Nothobranchius furzeri: one gene and its partners. The protein of the gene in region 3 purifies or fractionates together with the protein of the main gene of each other region. This does not show direct contact. Links are inferred from orthologs where the notes say so. Each region holds a gene or a part of one and is shown on either strand. Other genes may lie near its edges.

What was found. The genes of interacting proteins can lie anywhere in the genome.
Region 1: the proteins of tnfrsf1a (region 3) and nsmaf purify together in Homo sapiens (affinity purification with western blotting; 3 studies listed by BioGRID and IntAct, with this or other methods). This does not show direct contact. The link is inferred for Nothobranchius furzeri from reciprocal best matches to the Homo sapiens genes TNFRSF1A and NSMAF.
Region 2: the proteins of tnfrsf1a (region 3) and cyld purify together in Homo sapiens (affinity purification with western blotting; 4 studies listed by BioGRID, with this or other methods). This does not show direct contact. The link is inferred for Nothobranchius furzeri from reciprocal best matches to the Homo sapiens genes TNFRSF1A and CYLD.

The regions. Positions count from the first base shown.
Region 1 is NC_091747.1:41,217,381-41,223,704, forward strand, and holds the start of nsmaf (protein FAN), read right to left. Parts: upstream 3,479-6,324; 5' UTR 3,379-3,478; coding exon 3,341-3,378; intron 2,065-3,340; coding exon 1,981-2,064; intron 1,834-1,980; coding exon 1,755-1,833; intron 1-1,754. Other genes in the region: UDP-N-acetylglucosamine transporter TMEM241 homolog, read left to right, coding at 3,845-3,916, 4,085-4,131, 4,203-4,280, 4,363-4,444, 4,554-4,631, 4,742-4,767, 4,908-4,959, 5,030-5,078 and 6 more. UniProt on the Homo sapiens protein: Couples the p55 TNF-receptor (TNF-R55 / TNFR1) to neutral sphingomyelinase (N-SMASE). Specifically binds to the N-smase activation domain of TNF-R55. May regulate ceramide production by N-SMASE.
Region 2 is NC_091749.1:70,971,245-70,977,294, reverse strand, and holds the start of cyld (ubiquitin carboxyl-terminal hydrolase CYLD), read right to left. Parts: upstream 3,479-6,050; 5' UTR 3,296-3,478; intron 1,096-3,295; 5' UTR 1,052-1,095; coding exon 560-1,051; intron 1-559. UniProt on the Homo sapiens protein: Deubiquitinase that specifically cleaves 'Lys-63'- and linear 'Met-1'-linked polyubiquitin chains and is involved in NF-kappa-B activation and TNF-alpha-induced necroptosis.
Region 3 is NC_091745.1:73,833,969-73,839,549, reverse strand, and holds part of tnfrsf1a (tumor necrosis factor receptor superfamily member 1A), read right to left. Parts: intron 1,649-5,581; 5' UTR 1,627-1,648; coding exon 1,585-1,626; intron 1,500-1,584; coding exon 1,397-1,499; intron 1,315-1,396; coding exon 1,189-1,314; intron 1,099-1,188; coding exon 943-1,098; intron 871-942; coding exon 792-870; intron 193-791; coding exon 128-192; intron 1-127.

The sequences.
Region 1 (6,324 bases), on a different chromosome or scaffold from region 3:
CTCTTCTTAGGGTCTCTAATGACCTTCTGACTCACAGTGATGCAGGGGACTGTTCTGTTCTGGTCCTGCTGGACCTGACTGCAGCCTTTGACACTGTTGACCATCACCTGCTACTGGAGAGGCTCAGAGACTGGGTAAGCCTATCAGGAAATGCTCTGGAGTGGTTCTCCTCTTATCTCTCTGAGCGCTCCTTTTCTGTGGCCATCTCCAAGTTTAGGTCCTCCACCACCTCTCTTACCCATGGTGTCCCCCAAGGTTCTGTGCTGGGGCCTCTACTCTTCCTCCTCTATCTGCTTCCTCTTCAGCACATCCTGAGCTCCTTCAAAGGAATCTCCTACCATCTGTATGCAGATGACATCCAACTGTACATCTCCTTTAAGCCCCATGAGATGTCTAAGCTGCAGCTGTTACACACCTGCTTAGACTCTATCAAAACCTGGATGGCTGGGAGCTTTCTTCAGCTGAATGAAGATAAGACTGAGATCCTCATCTGTGCCCCAGACAAGCTGGTTCGCAAAGTCAGAGACTCTCTTGGTCAGCTTGCTTCTCTCACCAAACCTTCCGTCAGGAATCTTGGTGTGACCTTTGACCCAGCTCTCGACCTGGATTCTCATGTCAATTCTCTTGTTCGCTCTTCCTTCTTCCATCTCAGGAACATTGCTAAGCTGAGTCCCATTCTGTCTCGCTCTGAACTTGAGACAGTTCTCCACACCTTCATCTCCTCGCGCTCAGACTACTGTAACTCTTTTTTCACGTGTCTGAGCAGAACCTCCCTGAACCGTCGACAGGTGGTTCAGAATGCCTGTGCTCGGCTTCTGTCCAAGTCCTCCAAACACACCCACATCACCCCGCTTCTCCTCCAGCTTCACTGGCTGCCAGTCAACTTCAGGATTCATTTCAAGATCCTGGTTCTGGTCTATAGGGCCTTACATGGACAAGCACCATCTTACATTGGTGATCTTCTTAGTCCCTACACCCCCAGCAGGTCCCTGAGGTCCAGTGATCAAAGCCTACTGGTTGTGCAACGCACCAGGCTAAAGACCAAAGGTGACAGATCATTTGCTGCTGTGGCCCCCAGACTCTGGAACTCTCTCCCCCTGAGCCTGAGATCAGTGGACTCCTTTAAAAAGCAGCTGAAGACTCACTTGCTCAGGCTGGCTTTTGTATGACCTTCTTCACCACTCTCTATTCTGCTCTCCCCAACTATTCCACCTTCCTCAGGATCCACTGATTTCCCTTTTATCTATTCACTCTCTCTCTTTCTTTACATTTTTTAATCACAATTGCCTATTTTTTGCTCATTTTAAACATATTTTTAACCATTTTCTAATTATTTTTTATATTTTTACATTTTTTGTTTTTGTGAAGTGCCTCGTGATTTTTATCTTGAGAGGCGCAATAGAAAAGATGTTTTCTTCTTCTTCTTCTTCAAATTGATCAGTCAGACGGACAAAACACCACACATAAAGCCGTCACAAAAGCAAGGTGCAGCTACGGTAGCCTGGATGTCCAAACAGGTAATAAGTTTAAACAGGTGGTTTATGGTTTGTCTTATGCAGCAGCTGTGTTTTGCCCTCATTCTGCCATCTTACTAACACTTGGGTGGAAGTTTGTCTCAGTCAGATGGAAGGCAAATTTAAATAATTATCCTATAGTTTTTATTTTTCTATGTTTTATCTTATAGTTCAATCCCTTAACTCCTGTTAGATTACAGAATTAAAGACATAAATAAAATGTGCTACATTCAAACAAACCTTTAGGATTGGTTCTCCAAGATCTTCTGGATCAAAAATGATGGATCTTGAGCAAACCTTCAAGGACCCTCTGGTTCTTCTGAGAAATAAAAGACATGTTAGAACTCTAAACTAGGATGATTCGTGAAGATTAAGGACTAGAGAAAAATCCAGATTGGAACTTTGTATTGAGAGACATCAGATTTACCTATACATTTAGACTAACGTAAGGTGGAATACGACTAACCTCTGCTTTGCATCGCTGGTCACATGGTATGCAGTGTGCTGCTCAAAGTAATACTCCTCCAAATCCAGCAACAAGAGAGAAAACCTGAGGAAATAAAATAAGGAAGAAGCTGCATTAGAGAGAGAACAGCTGGGAAATGGCTGCTGCCTGTCCATCTGACCAGCTGCACATCTCAGTAGCAGCGAGACAGAAAGATGGAGACGAGTGCTGTCAATGTCTGAGTTTGTCTGTCATGTCCCTCTCATGCTCCCATGAGCCTTTAAAAACAGATAGACTACAAACAGCTTCATGCAGTAAAACGCACAATGTTTAATATTTATGCACTCATCTGGACAAATGAGATGCACTTTAACAAAACTAAACAAAAGCACAACTAAAACACAATTTAATCCTTTAATTTCAACACTGAGAAACAAGGAATAAAATGTTAAATTGTTGCATTTTTATACATTTGAGTCAACAAGAGGTTCACTTTAATATCAACGTGAGGGGTTTAAAGAAGCCTTGGTTTCACATCAGGGAGATTTGTGAGTTTAGTGAGTGAATACAGCTTGATTCGTTTAATTCTTTGACTTTTAACTGGACAAGAGCCCTAAGTATGTTTTTGATTTGCATTTTTTGTAAGGTTTTACAGATATTAATTCAGATTAACCTGAAAGTTATGAATGTGGGTGTAAACAATTTCTTCATGTGTATTTGTGTGTGCTAATTAACTCAAAGTGATGGTGGTTGATTTAAGTTTTAATTGATTGATTGGCAATGGTGCATTCAAAGACCCAAAATAAAATCAGAATTTGAGATGGGCCAATTCCAATCACCAGCTGATTTTTGGGTGCTGCTCTAGTCCAGACCTAGTGTTTTTTTTAAGTATTGAACTCTGTTTCCACCTAAATTAATAGGATTGTTCCACTTCACACAGATGTAACGGATTCATTAGACTGTGCTGAAACTGCCCATCTTCTTCAAAATCTCAGCGGATATTTTACAGAAAGCCATAATGAGATCATTACTGAATATAAAACAATGTAAGTGAGTCATTTGGGATTTGGTCTGGTGTCCGATCAGATGATTATTCTGGTGAGAATTTGTCTGAAGAAAACAGAATTCTGCTTTTGGAGGCAGTTTGGGGGATTAAACAGATGTCATGAGTCAACCCGACCTCTCCCACTCAGACTGAGGAACAAAGACAGCTCTGCTGGCATGACTTCAATAACAAGACACCTGACAACTGCCAGTGAGCCTCTCATGACAGAGCACAGCCCTGATATTCATCCGCAGGGGAGGAAAACAGTCCGCAGACACCGAACAATGACCTCCAGGAGAAAGCAGCAACATAAAAACAGAACCCAGAGTAACAAACCTTTCTTTTGTTCGCTCTTGTGTCCTAATAAATGCCATGACCGCGCTGCATCCTCCTGTGTAACTCAACACCGAGGCGCTCGCCGTCCGAGCTCTGTAAACACGGAAACTTGACTGACGTCACGTGACCAGCTCTCACCACAGCAATAAAAGTGAAGATGCTTCACTCTCCCTAGTTTAGAGGCGATGCCGCTGATTTTATACAACTGCTCACTTAAATCAAGATCTTAAAAGTACAAACATGATGTGTTAAGTTACATTATTAATGCATAATTTATAAATATTCTAAAATATCCCATTAGGATACCAAAAAACAAACGAGCGCGACTCTGTGCTGGTGAGGGATCGTCTTAGTCATAGACGATCTTTGCTTCGAGGCTTCTTGACGTGTCTGCGGGTGCGGGAGCAGTGAGGGAAGTTGAAGCGATCCTCTCTGAAATCAGACCAATGCTGAGTGTTATTTGTTAGGAACCATGTCCCCGCTGCCGTGCGTCTGCAGCTCAACATGCACTGGAGAAGCCACGTCGCTGGCATCACGTTCAGCTGCGTTTTTGTTGTGACTCATTTCACCAACAAGGTGAGTGTGACACTATACCTGGAGAAGAAACAAACTCGATCTACTTTACATACTCAAACTATCACTTAATCAGACTTGGGTGGCTTTATCTGATCGTTTTTGGGCGCTTTTTGGATTTAAAATATCACAAATGAGGACCTGAGACATGGTTGTTTTTTTCTTCTGCAGTTTGTACTGTCTGTGCTAAAGTTCACCTATCCAACTTTATTCCAAGGGTAAGTCCCTGAAAACAAACTTTTAAATACAAAAGCAACTTGATCATTACTTCTTTTTACCTCTTTTTCAGATGGCAGACGTTAATGGGAGCTGTGCTGCTCCTGCTGGCTGGGAAACTGGGCTGGGTGGAAATGAGACACATCAGCAGGTTCTTTTATCTGACTATTACCTGCTGTGGAGTTTATTTTACCCTGACTTATTCTCTAATTACATATGTTGATGCTTGACAGATCTGCTGCTCTCTCCTGGCTCCCGGGCTCATTCCTGTTTGTAGGAAACATCTATGCAGGGTCAAGAGCGCTCTCTCACATCGTGAGTTAACAGATTCAGAGTCAAACACTCATCAGAAATAAAAAATATCAACACGATTACGACTTCCTGGACATGTTGGGTCCTAGATGCTGTTTCTTTCTCTGTGCAGGACATTCCTTTTTACTTCACCATGCAGAATTCCTCTTTTGTTGTGAGTTACATGATGATCAGGATTCTTCACAGAGATGTGAGTCTGCTGATGCTCAGATCTGTGCATTACCTTTGATTTTCCTTCAGCGGTATAATCATATTGTAATTAACGTGTATCTAACATGTTATCTGGCTCTTTGATCTCAGAGGACATCATGGCTCAAATCCATCAGGTATGCATTTCTATTTAGCTGCGATGAATCTTAAAAACATTTACCTGAAATGATCTTAATTTTGTTTTCTATTGTAAAACCTCGGAAATAAAACATTCACATTCTGAACTCATAACACTTTAATGTCCCTTTTCCTGCAGCGTCCTGCTGATGCTGCTGTCGGCCATCAACCTTCCCCTGTTTGACCCTCAGGTAACGATTCCCCGTCCTTCGAAGGTGGATTATGTGTCGGATCGTCTTATTTTATATGTTTTATTTACAGTTTGACTACAGTGCCTACCTGTGGGCCTTTTGCCATCTTTTCTGTGTCGGTAAGTCTAAGGTGCTGCTGTTAGAGGCTGGTTTCAAGGGCCTGCTGATGAATGATCTGCTATGTGCTCAGGTGCATACAGGGTGTTTCACGTTCAGCACAAGGCCAGTAATCTGAGGTTAGTCATTCTAAGTCTCACTTTTGTGTTACTACAGATCAAACAAACTATTAAAATGAAAACTGTTTTTTTTTTTTGTTTTTTTACAAAAATCATGAAAAACCTCTTTGTTCCATTGACCTGAATCACAAAGTAAATCTTCAGATGGCTACGAGGCTATTGCTTGTTTTATTTTAGGATTACTCAGCTCTATGCGGTGGGATTGTACAGTACGACACCCCCACACGCTGAAATATTTATGTGTGATTTACTTTCAGTGATATTGAACAGCAGTGCATTAACTACCTGCTCAGGTAAGAATCCACAAGGTCTCTTAAATGAGAAACGTTGGCCATAAATAGATTTAATGAAGTTTCAGGTGCAGAATCGTTTGTGAGGAAAGATTTTTCTTCTACTTCTGCTTTTTATCTTGTATAAACATCATTTTAGAGTAAATCGTAATAAACCCGAATACTTTAATGATTATAAAGTATTGTTTGTTCATGAATTGAGTTTAAATTCTAACTGAATGACCGCAGTTGTTGGTTTTTAATGACAGTGTGCTGCTGCTGGGTCTCGCTGCTCACCCCACAGGTACGACTCACCTGAGCTCATGTTTCAGCTTTAAAAGATGCGATTCAGCTCAATATTTCTGCTCTACAGGTGACCTCACAGGTGCCTGGGAGTTTACTTCTCTTAACTCCTTCACTTTCCAAAGCGGCTGCTGCATCAGGTGAGACGTCATCAGCTTTCTCTACCGATTATAAAGAACCCGCTGCTGTTATTTGGTTTTGATAGACAAGGAAACTCTTTTGTAAATATATTCAGGTTTTAAAAGTAGAGCTTCTTTCTCCACAGTGCTGTTTTGGGTTTTTTGCTGCTGTTGGTCACAGTCAGACTAAAACATGGACTGTCCCTGGAACACGTCAGAGTCTGGGGCTTTCTGTCGAAGGTATAAATAAATAAAAACACCTGTCAGGACTTTTGCTCTGAGGGAACATGAGTGATGGTTACTTCTGCTTTCTCTCAGGTTTCCGCCATGGCGCTCTCACCTTTTATGTTCAACACGAATATCAACACCAAAACTCTTTTATGGTGAGTGCTTGACCTGATTATGAGATCTATTGAGTGAAAATTAAATTTTTATTTT
Region 2 (6,050 bases), on a different chromosome or scaffold from region 3:
TTCATATTTACTATGGAATCTTACGTCTTATGGCTCATTAAATAACATGTAAATTAAACCATTACAGGATCAACTATTAAATTCATTAAAATATGGCAGCCGTTTCTAAAATACATGGAAACCTTCAAGCTACCTAGTAACCCCTAACATGAACAGGTCAAATGTTAAATATTAATAGTCTAACAGTGATAACTCTCACCACTTAGGATCATTATTAGAATTCATTAATATTACTTGTGCACAGATTTGGAACCTTCTTTAATTTATTAGAATTTGTTCTGTCCTGGTTCCGTTTATTTTTTCCTATTTTTGTCTTTTATTTATTTATTTATTTATTTATATCTCTTTCTTTTCTTGCTTAAATGGGGATGTCGTTTGTTTTTTTTGTGTTTGTTCTGATAATTACTGCTGTGAATAATCACTGGGATAAAAACCAAAAAGACAGCCAATGATGTACACTGATCATATGTGATTCACTGTCTGAAAATCATGCATAAAGTTTAGAAATTAAAAACATTAATCACTGTGAAAAAATAACAGATCAAAGAAGCGTTCTCACCAGCAGCTCCACTCCAAACCAGATTCCGGAGAGGGCTCGGTCAGGGAGTAGCGAGCCTTTGAATCGGACCACCCCGGGTAGAGATTTGTCCCCCGAGCGAAGCTGGACGCGTACTTTAGACCCACAGTCAATGTCCCGGATGCGCTCCAGCCGCGACGAGTCGCACAGCAGGGCGTAGCGTTCCTCACAGTTGGTGATGGGGAACAGCAACTCAGCCAGCTTCTCATCCAGCTCCAGGACGTCCCGCTCATCCAGACTCAGAACCATGTTGGTCTGGTCCAGAATGCGCAGGCTTTTCTTGCCCTTACATGGGGGCAACGTTCGCCCCAGGCTGTTGCGCTCCTGGCAGGCCTGGCCAAGACTACCACGGGGGATCCTCAGGGTCTTCTGGGCGGGCTTCTCCACGGTACATTCCTTCACGACCATGTAGAAGCGCCAGTCCTCCCTGAAGCCCCCGCTGGGCTTCTCCTGGCTCCACAGGGTGGAGCTCATGGCTGCATGGCAGACTGGAGTCCAAGGCGAGCTTGGCCACTGGGCTGGAGGAAAACACACGTGGGTGAGTTTCTCAGGAAGGTTTTGCTTAATTAAAACCTGGAAGTCTAAAAAAGCATACATGAATCAAAACAGGCTTTTTATAGCCAAGTCACCTAAGAAAGCACAAAACTAGCTCGAACAGGTTTAGTTCAAATTCAACATATTGGTAGCTGACTGGTTTCCCTACAAACGCTGGCTCTGAGGAAGACCCCATCCGTCTTGTCTGCTCACTAACGGCTGTAAACTGATCAACCACCTCCAGGCCAGTCCCGACAATTTATCACGTATCAGCCGAGGCACCTGCAAAGGCGCCCCCAAGGGGTGGCCATGGCCACCCCTAGAAAAGAGCTTCCCCCCCCCCCCAGGAAAAGTCGGTGTTCACAAATCATATGAATGTTCAGTCAAACCATATATTGATCTTGTTTATTCAAGACATCATTGTAAAACTAAATAAAAATAATACAATTAATAAGTAAAGGAGTAATCGGAATAAAAAAACAAATGCGTGTGTTTCCGCTGCTCGCCATTTTCAAAAAATTTTATCTCCATAGTTTTTTTTTGTGAACACAGCAGCAGGTGAATTAACCTAAAAATATTTCACTTTAAATTAAATTAGGGATAACATTTTAAATAACTGAAATGTTTGTGTTTGTAAAATTTTAGTTAAATGTTTTAGATACGTAGTGCTTTTTCTTATTATATAAAAATGAATAAAGGAGCAATGCAATACATTGCTACAGGACAAACCGTCCCACAGTTACCCACAAGGACCAATTTGGTGTGCCACCCCAAAAATGTATTTGGCCCCATCTGGCCACCCCTTTCAAAATTTTCTGGAGGCGCCCCTGGGCACCTGGTCCTGCTGTCACACCAGCTTTGGATCACACACAATGTTGTGCTCAAGAGCTACCCAAAAGGGTTCTCAGGCGTTTCTGATCATCTGTTCTAGCCTAGAAATCTAGACAAACCATAGCAGCACAAAAGGATTTCACTCTGTGGGTTGGTCTAGCTTCAGCAGGTCTACAATTGGCTCAGCTTTGTTTAGGCTGAGCCAATCACAGCTCTCAGACAGCTTTGCTGTCCAAAATGATGGGCAGAGCTGTGAAGGATCAAAACAGGAATGATGGTGGTGGCTCAGGATGCTCACTTTGGCATCAACTTTGGACGATTTAGACATGAGCAGATACAGGTTCTTCTTGTACTTCTTCACCTGTGCATGGCAGACTGCCCCACTGACCGATTTTAGTTGATGTGTCACAATATTCCTCGCTCTGATTGGTCCTGGTGCTGTCCAATAGCATGCAGAGTTTAAGACAACGTAGATGACTGAGTTTATGGGTTGTTGCCAGATTATATATTTACATATGTAGGACAGCTTGCCGGGCTCAGATGATCAGATGATCTGTCCTGCTTTCTTTGATCTTTTAGGCAGACAAAACCAAAGAAACTCATCCTGTTTTATAATGAATTGTGATGAATTTGTACGACTATAGTTTAAAAGTCAAGCATGAAGGCCAGACTTTGTGTTTACAATCACTGAAATAATTCAAAACAATGAGAATGGTTTCAGTAGTTTGCTGATTGCCTAAAAAGTATTTCAGGGTATTTTAATACGTTTTATCAGAGCATATTAAAGGTCTGGGGCTTTTGCATTTTCCCACGAGAACCCAAACAGCTGAGTATGCCCGCATGTGTGTGTGTGTGCGTGTGGACTTAGATCTGCTGATATGAAAGAGCTCAGATGAGGAGCATGCAGTTACCCTGACACACACACACACGCACACACACACACACACACACACACACACACACACACACACACACACACACACACACACTGATACCAGCCGGTGGACTTCCCCTCATCTCGTGTCGGATCAAATCTTCAGCAAGTCCACATCCGTCCTTCGTCTCAAGGAGGACACCAGATCCGAATAAACAACCAGAAGCAGGACGAAAACAAGACCACCGGCACCAAATTCAACACGACACGGACCGATCACGCATTTACGTAGCCGTGTCTTTGACGTTAGCAGCGAAAAGCTGAACACAGCTGATTTTAGTTCAGGGCTTTCCTTGCCAACCCCGCAGCGGCGTGTCACCGGGCGGAGGCTGTCGGTCACGGGCCCTCCGGGAGGGCAGTGGCTTAACGGCCACACACACACTCGCTCACGTTCAATACCTCCGTCAGGAACAGCTTACCTTCGATTCGGGTCGGGTCACTTGTAGGCTGCAGATGACTGACAGATCATCTCATTCGCCCATCCCAGTCAGACCTTCACAGACATCTCTCGTATTAACCTCGGAGCAGCTAAGTGGCTAGGCTAATGCTAGCGTCCGAATCACGCAGAAATGAGCCGAGCGAGCAGGTCGGCAGAAGCGGGGAGACTGGCAGGAGACTGCCACCCTCTAAAGGCTCCTAGCTACATTGAGATCTTCTGCTCCACATTTAAAATAAGTGAAATAATAACCTCTCGGTGCATACGTTTATTATTTTCAGGAGACGACAGCACCACGGACAATATGTGATGTCATTACGTTTTCTGACGGTGATTGGTCACTGAATTCTTAGTCTAGCGCTGATTGGCTGTTTGCTGTGTTTTCAACCAAGTTCACCATGAGGGGTTTTCCCATCGACGGCAGGAAAACAGATAGGTTGCAGTGTGCCTCCATGCTGCGTATCGTCAGTGATGGAGAAATATTTAAATAAAAACATTTATATGAATAAGATAATGTGACGTAATGAAAACTATCTGCAAAAGCGCGCTTTGTCCAAAATAATAAATGTCCAAAAAATGCACTTGATTATTTTCTAAAACAGCTGTCTCAGAAGATGCTCGTGAAGTTTTTGAAATAAAAATAAAAGACTAGACTAATACATGATTCGTGACGCGCACCAAGTAACAGATTTATTCCACCAGGATGCTCCACTGATCTCCACAGGAAATCCTTCCAAACTGCGAGAGCGCTCTCTGTCCATGTCGCTGTAAACAGATCCCTTTTTTCTCTCATTTTTATTATTAATTATATGTTGTCTGTGTAGAATGTGATTCATCCGTGTTTAATTTTTCCTATTAAATCTGTCTTTTATATCTGTGTAACGTCCAAAAGGGTCAATTTTCACCTTTATATCGACCAACATAATACCCTTTCATCTACAGAAATAAATCCACTCTCTGTTTGGTCTTCCAAACCCAGAAGGTTCTGCCCAGTGCTTGTTGACATACCAGAAGACAAAACATACACACAAACGTTCTCACCCAAGGTCCTGCACTCTGCGTAGAAGCCAGACTATTGATTCCTCGCCTTAAATAGAGATCAAACCTACTTGAATCCTACAAGACTTTACAACTTATAAGTTAAATAATCATATGTGTTGAATGAACAAGATGTTTATATGAAATGTTTGAATGATCTGTGCTTTAACCATGATGGCTTTAAAAAGAATATTGTTCATACAATTTTCCATTTCAGATCTTATGTGTTTGATTTAACAAGTTAATCATTATTAACACTCACACACATTACAATAAGATACTCATTAAGGTTAAAATTCACATCACATAAGAGTTTCAAGACTCTCATTCACAAAGTGTTAAAAACATCCTTGTATCTGAGGAGGCGTGGCTGTCTGAGGGATGTTCGTAAATACTCATAATGTGTCAAACTCTGATTTGCTAAACTTGGCCTAACTCATAACATTGGGGTTTAATAAAATGAGAATTAATTCCCGATTAATTCAGTTTCTAGCTGACCCTCGAACTGGCCACTTCGGGAAAGAAGCCGCTTTTGAAACCATCTCCTTTGACCTCCAGTCAAAAGCCTCTCTGCGACGCTGTAAGCTGACACAGCCAGACGGCTCTTCTAAGAGCCAAACAAACATCAGCCTTAGACGCAAATAAGCATTCCAGCTTCCTGCCTTCACCTGGAGGATCTCAGACTGGACGGGTCCTATCGGAGCTGTCTACGGGTTCCTGATATCAGAGTTCACTCCACCAGCAGTGACCATCGACCCCCCGGATCGAACGAGAACCTCCACACCAAGGGTGCGTAGATTGGCACAGATTGCGTCTGATGAGCTTAAACAAACAGCTCTCTAGTTTATAACAAACAACAGATTATTTTACAATCCAGATTTCATAATTTCTCTCTGATACAAAGAACGGTTGCTACAACATCTAGCATCCACCACACCCCCTCTCATTATTCATATCTTGTCACGTATAAATTATTAGTTTAGGAAAATAATTGAATTCATTTTAGAACCTAAATACTGACTCTGCCCGAATTAATACGAAGTGTGTTTATGGTCCCTGAATAATCAAAGAACCCGAGAATCTTCTGATTAAACATTCAAAGATCAATCAGATTGACACTTCATGATTGTACGGAATAATCACATCTTATTGATCATAATTAATATGTATTGATAATGTAATCATTAATCACACTACATCTGTGTCCACATAGAATATGTCTGTATGTTATGTTCTAAATGAGGATAAAGGAATGTTATTTAAAATACATTTGAGTAGGAATAAAGTAGGGCTGCACGTTATTAGGAAAACGTGCGATATGCGATAACAGTGATTAATATTGCGATGACGATATTACTTGCGATAAATAAAAACTTGACTCAGGAACAAAAATAATCAAAAACAAATGACAAAAAAATCATAAAAATGAGAAAAGCAAAAGATGTGAGGAAAGGGAAAAAGAAAATGAACAAGAAAAGGATCAGTGGATCCCAGGAAAAGCAGAATCAACAGGAAGAGCAGAGCAAAGCTAACTCAGGTGTTTGCTAACCATCAAAATTAGGTGCCGCCCGTCTCGGGGGCGGGCATCTAACCTATGAGAACCCACCCGATTGGCCAAATGGGTGAAGAGCTCTATTTGATTTGTTAAAAAAACGTCATGTGTCGCAAACATTTGAGCTGACCATTCATGATGATATTTA
Region 3 (5,581 bases):
CATTTATTCTAGAGACCACTGCAAATGTGGTTCAAAACCGAGTGAACTTGGTCTTGAAAGAATAATGGAAAACTCAAACGGTGAACACGGAAATATGGCAAGAGAAGAAACAAGTGCGTCATGTCACCTGGTTGGCGCTCACCTTCTGTCGCCACTTCCAACATGCAGTGTTGTGAGCAGCCTGTGGTACAACTGTGGAGGATAAACAGGATGTTTCATTGCACCAAGGAGGAAGTAGCATGTCTTCAGAGGAAGTGATTAACGCAAAGGCTGACATGTATTTTTTTTAACTCCAGCTTTCTGTAGCTCTGGTTTCAAAGTTCGACTACACAGAAAGTTGAGCTGAACCAGTCACTGTCCCAGTAACTCAGAAAGATTCTTATGTTTATGCAAACCAGGATGTAAACATGACAGAAATATAGGAAGTTTGAGCTGCAAGTTTTTGTGCTTCCTTGTTTGATTTGTGTCAAACATCTTCGACTATAAGAACCAAAAATAAAAACACTCAACGCAGCATTTTAGGAGAAGATAAGAGAGGTCATTATACGCTAACAGACTTTTAGTAGACGCGAATAAGAAAGGTTTTTTTTAGCGAGTCTCAAGACGTGTGTGTCATAACTTCTCTCCTGTATTGCTAACAAATGGAAAGCTTGAACAAAGTCGGAAGTGAGCTGCAAGTTTCATTTCTACAAACCAACTTCCTTAATTAAAATGTTACAAAAAAACCTTCCCAAACTCGAAGATGGAAACAAAACGAGAACCAAGGACTCGTCGGACAGCGATGCACTCACTTCCTGCAAGGTTCACACTTGTTTCTGACTCTGTAGAAGTTTTCCTTACAGCCACACACGGTGTCTCTCTCTCGAGTACCTGTGAAAACAAAACTGGCTTTACCACGGAGTGGTTGTTTAATTTATTACAGAAGAATCTTTAAAGACTCACATGCATGCTCCTCCGTTTCATCTGGTTTGCATCTCGAACACTTGAGGCACTCAACCGTTTCACTGTCAATGTGGTTTTTGTAATAGCCGACCTTACAGCCACAGATGGTGTTTTGAGCTGCTCTACAAGGTGAAACCTCAACTTCATTTCGTGCTGCTGCAGAAAAGTTGACAAAATTAAAGCTTTTACAGCTAATCTGATGCTGTGCAAGCTGAGAAATGAAGTCTGGAGAAGTTAAAGTCACACCTCTGCAGGTTTTGCACTTTCTGCACTGGAAAGCGTTGTTTATCTGGTCGGAGAACTGCCGAGCAGGACAGGGTGTGCAATTACTTCTGTGACCTTCACTGTGACACTCTGCAACCAGCTTAAACCCTGAAAACAAAATGATCCCACAGAAGTAAACGCAAAGTCAGAATTCACATTCTTTACAGGTCCCGTCACGTGTAAAGGTTACCTGCAGGACATTTGTTGCAGCATATTCCATCTTTGTTTTCGTAGTCACCGACTGGACACTTGGGTGTAACTAAGTTGAGCGTAGCGGCAAAGATGAATGTGAACTGAAAGTAACGATAAACAATGAGCAGGAAAATGAAGGCAGGGTTTCCCACTAACATGCATTTGCGTCTTAAAAATTTTTTTCACCTCAAAGAGCAGGAGGAGGATCCTCAGCCTTCCTGCCATCATTTTGGACTTCAATTCAATCCATCTGGAAGAATAAACTAGAATTTAAAATGTTTAAATTACAAAAGAAAATCTTGTGTGTGTATTACTGGTCAACCGATACTGTTTTTTTTTGTTTTTTTTTTCCGATACCGATGTCGAAATGCAGGAGGCATGGTTAGCTGATGGCTGATGTGTACTGCAGATTTTCATGGCCGATACCTGGATGTTTTCCATGCTAAAATGTCACTGATGACATCAGTTGATGCACAAAATTTCTGAAGCTGAATCAGTTTTAAACTCTAAATTAAACTAACTGCTCATTATTAACTTTGTGCACTGCTCTGTGTTAAAGTCAGACACCTAAATAAAGTTAGTTTGGAGCATTTATTGTCATTAGTGAGCACAAAAATACATTTAAAGGTGCATTATGTAGAAGTAAAAATGACATCCTGTGGTAAAATGTGGTTAGTGCAACCACTTTAAACTACTCTGTAGCTTTTTGCCGGCTGCCGTCAAATTACAATCGTCGGCGCTACAGTATTAGCTCACAGGAGACACGGCAACTCCACACTCACTGATGGTAAACATTAGTTACGTCCCTACTTCTGTTGTTTTGAAAGGAGACAAACGTGACAATCCACGCAGCCAGCTGGATATGAATTGATAATGATAAATGACCCGCACTTGTATATCGCCTCTCAGAGGTGGATGAGCTACAATGTAGCCACAACTGCCCTGGGGTGCACTGACAGAGGCGAGGCTGCCGAGCACAGGCGCCACCGGTCCCTCCGACCACCACCAGCAGGCAAGGTAGGTTAAGTGTCTTGCCCAAGGACACAACAGCAGAATTCTCTGTCCGGAGCTGGGATCGAACCGGCAACCTTCCGATTACTGGACAAACCGCTCAACCCGTTGAGCTACTGCTACCCCTAATGACTGAATGAAATATGTTCCAGAATAACTTTCCTTCCAAAATGACAAACATTTCTCGTTTGGGATTTTCTCACTGAACAACTCTCACTATATTCTTACATACTGCACCTTTAAATAAAATTCTGCAACAACGTTGGACTGCCTGAGGATGTGCCCGACTTTAAATCTGCTTTACTAATGACAAATATAGGCCGCTGCTGATGTATAAATACAGTAAATATCGGCCCGATACATCGGCTCACCGATATATTGGTCTACCCCTAGTATGTAGGCATTTAGATGTGAAGTTCACTTACTTAAATTCAAAATGAGCATTCAGGACAAGGTTCACTTAGAAACCATTTTTACTTGTTGTTTTGGAAAACGATCAGTCACTCAGAGTTGAACATGCAAGCTGAAGATGAAAACAGTCTTCTACCCCTCTTTCCTGCATTAGCCGCTGATAGAAAATAAGACGCTGAAACTCTTCGAATTAGAAAATCCTGACAGATCTACGTCACACTGTCGCTTAACATTCATGGACTCACCCATCTTGACTCTTGATGTGGTAGGCTGTTGTTGGTTTAGCGTCCAAGAATCAGCAGAGAACATCTTGGCTAGTGGAAGCTAACCATTAGCATTAGCAACTCCACCACACAGCAGAACTCCTTCAGGCTTGTGTTATTTGTGGAGATAAAATGTCAACATTGAAAAGCAACCAGAGTCAGTGGTAGAGTCATGTTGCTGTTAGCCAATCAGAAGTGAGATATCTGAATATCAGGAAATAATACTCCAAATTCTGCTGTGTTCAACTAATCTCTCCCTTGACTTCTAGTTCCTCAAACAGGAGCTTTTTTCCCCCAGAGTACGACTTACAAGGAAGTCGACTTACAAGGAAGTCATTCCTAATATAAACCACCGTGTATTAAAATATGACTAAAGTCAACCTTTAAAAATGGAGAAGAAACAGGATGTTTCAATCAATCAGTCCATCAGGTTTTATTTATATGGCGCTTTCCACCACCCTCAAAGGGGGCCCAAGGCGCTGGACAAGTAACAAAGATAAAAGTAGCAAGTCATAAAAACATTCAAAACAAATAAGAACATAGACCTTTATGAGAACAATAAAATGCCAATGAGATAAAATTTAGATAAAAGAAAATTAAAATTCATTAGTTAAAAGAAAGCTAAGAACAACAAAATTCAAACCAGAAACCAAAAGCTTTAGGAGAAAGCCATCCTATAAAAATGAGTCTTCAACCTGCTCTTAAAGACTGCCAGTGATGGGGACTGTTTGATTGTGACTGGGAGCTGGTTCCAGAGAGAAGGTGCAAGGACTTGAAAAGCCCTATCACCACGAGTCTTAAATCGGGTGCGAGGGACCTGGTCAGCGGACCGTAATGACCTTGAGGGAACATGCTTTATTAAGAGCTCCACTAAGTAGGTGGGGGCACTGCCTTGGAAAATCTTAAGACACAAAAAGCAGAATTTTAGACTGTGCCCGGTATGAGACTGGGAGCCAGCGAAGAGAATCCAGCACTGGAGAAATGTGGTCCCTTGTTTTCATGATTCTGCTGGTCTACATGGATTTCCCCCCACAACCATTTCTAGGAGAAAAACAGTAGGGCTGTAGCGAAGCCTCGATGATGTAGATGTCTCGATTCTAAAAATTTGTCGACGTCAGATCCGGTAGTCGACGCACCACGCCCACTTGTTGCATCCCCAGGAGTTTGTAAATAGAGGTGGAATCTGCCTGTTTTTCCTCCAGTTCGCCCTCTTCTCCGCCTTCACTAACATCTCCACCAAATACAGAAGACCCGGAACAACGTATTCCTTTCCTGTTTTGCCCGCCTTCGTCTCCCGGCAACGGACAACAACTTCCGGGGTCAGATGCGCTGCTTCGTCTCTATCGCAGATGTAGAAAATCACCGGGAGCGTTTCTCCCTTCATAAAGGAGCTTCTTTCAGACATTAGGAGAGCTGTTTTTGTGGTAGCAGTCTCTCCTCCGTGCTGGTCTGTTTGCTGCTGGGTGTTTTTGGTTTATTTAAACTTGGTAACTTGAACTTAACGTTGGTAAAGCTACTGTTAGCACTTTCGCTAACAGCTTCTTGCGTTTGGATAAGCTGTTACGTTTTGGTTTAGAGTTCATCTTTTTTGTGGTGCAGATCTCCCTTTTATTCCATTTAGAGTGTTGTGGGTTTTCGGTTTAGTTTAAAATATCACCTCGAGTTTGGTTTAACCGCCCAGTTTAGAGTTTGGACCTTTGGAGATTCTTATTTTGGTCCAGAACCCAGTAATCTTTGCCCAGTGGGACATCCCTACTTATTTGTACTTTGTTTTAATCCCCCACAGGCAGAATTAAGTTTTATTATTCCCAACCGGTGGATGGAAAGATTTATGTTTTTTTTTTGTAGTTGTAAATAAATCTGATCATCATTTTAACTTTTAAATCCCGTGTTATTGTCCCTTCCTTTTTGCACACAAGCCAAACTCCCCAGGAAGGGTTGTAACACCACTCGCCTCACGCACATAAGTGACCAAAACAAAGCAGCATGGAGACACTCCATCTCCAACCACCTCTCAGGCAGCAGCCTGCACTCCCACGTTCTACACGTCACCAGAACACAACCAATCGCAACACAATAAAAGCAGTGTTATACAAAATGGAAGGCCTGTAGTGTTTATTCTCTTACAGTAACAACTTATCAATTTTTTGAGGAATTTATTAGATTTTTTTTGTTTTTATTAACTGTGCAATAGAAATTTAATCATTAGATTAATTGTCTAAATAGTCATTAGAATAGTTGACTATTCGATAAAATAATCGTCAGAATAATCGTTTTAAAAATAACCGTTTACCCCTAGCCCTAAAAAACAGATAATCCCAGTGAGCAGCAGCTGTGTGGTTGAACAAGTCTCATTGATGTCAGAGGTCAAAGGGGAAGGGCAGACTGGTTTGAGGTTATCAAAGAAGATCAAATGGTCACTAGTTTCAACAAAGGTCAGTAAACAACATGTTGAACCTTGAACCACAGCGGGTGTCACACCTGTCAGGTAAAAACAG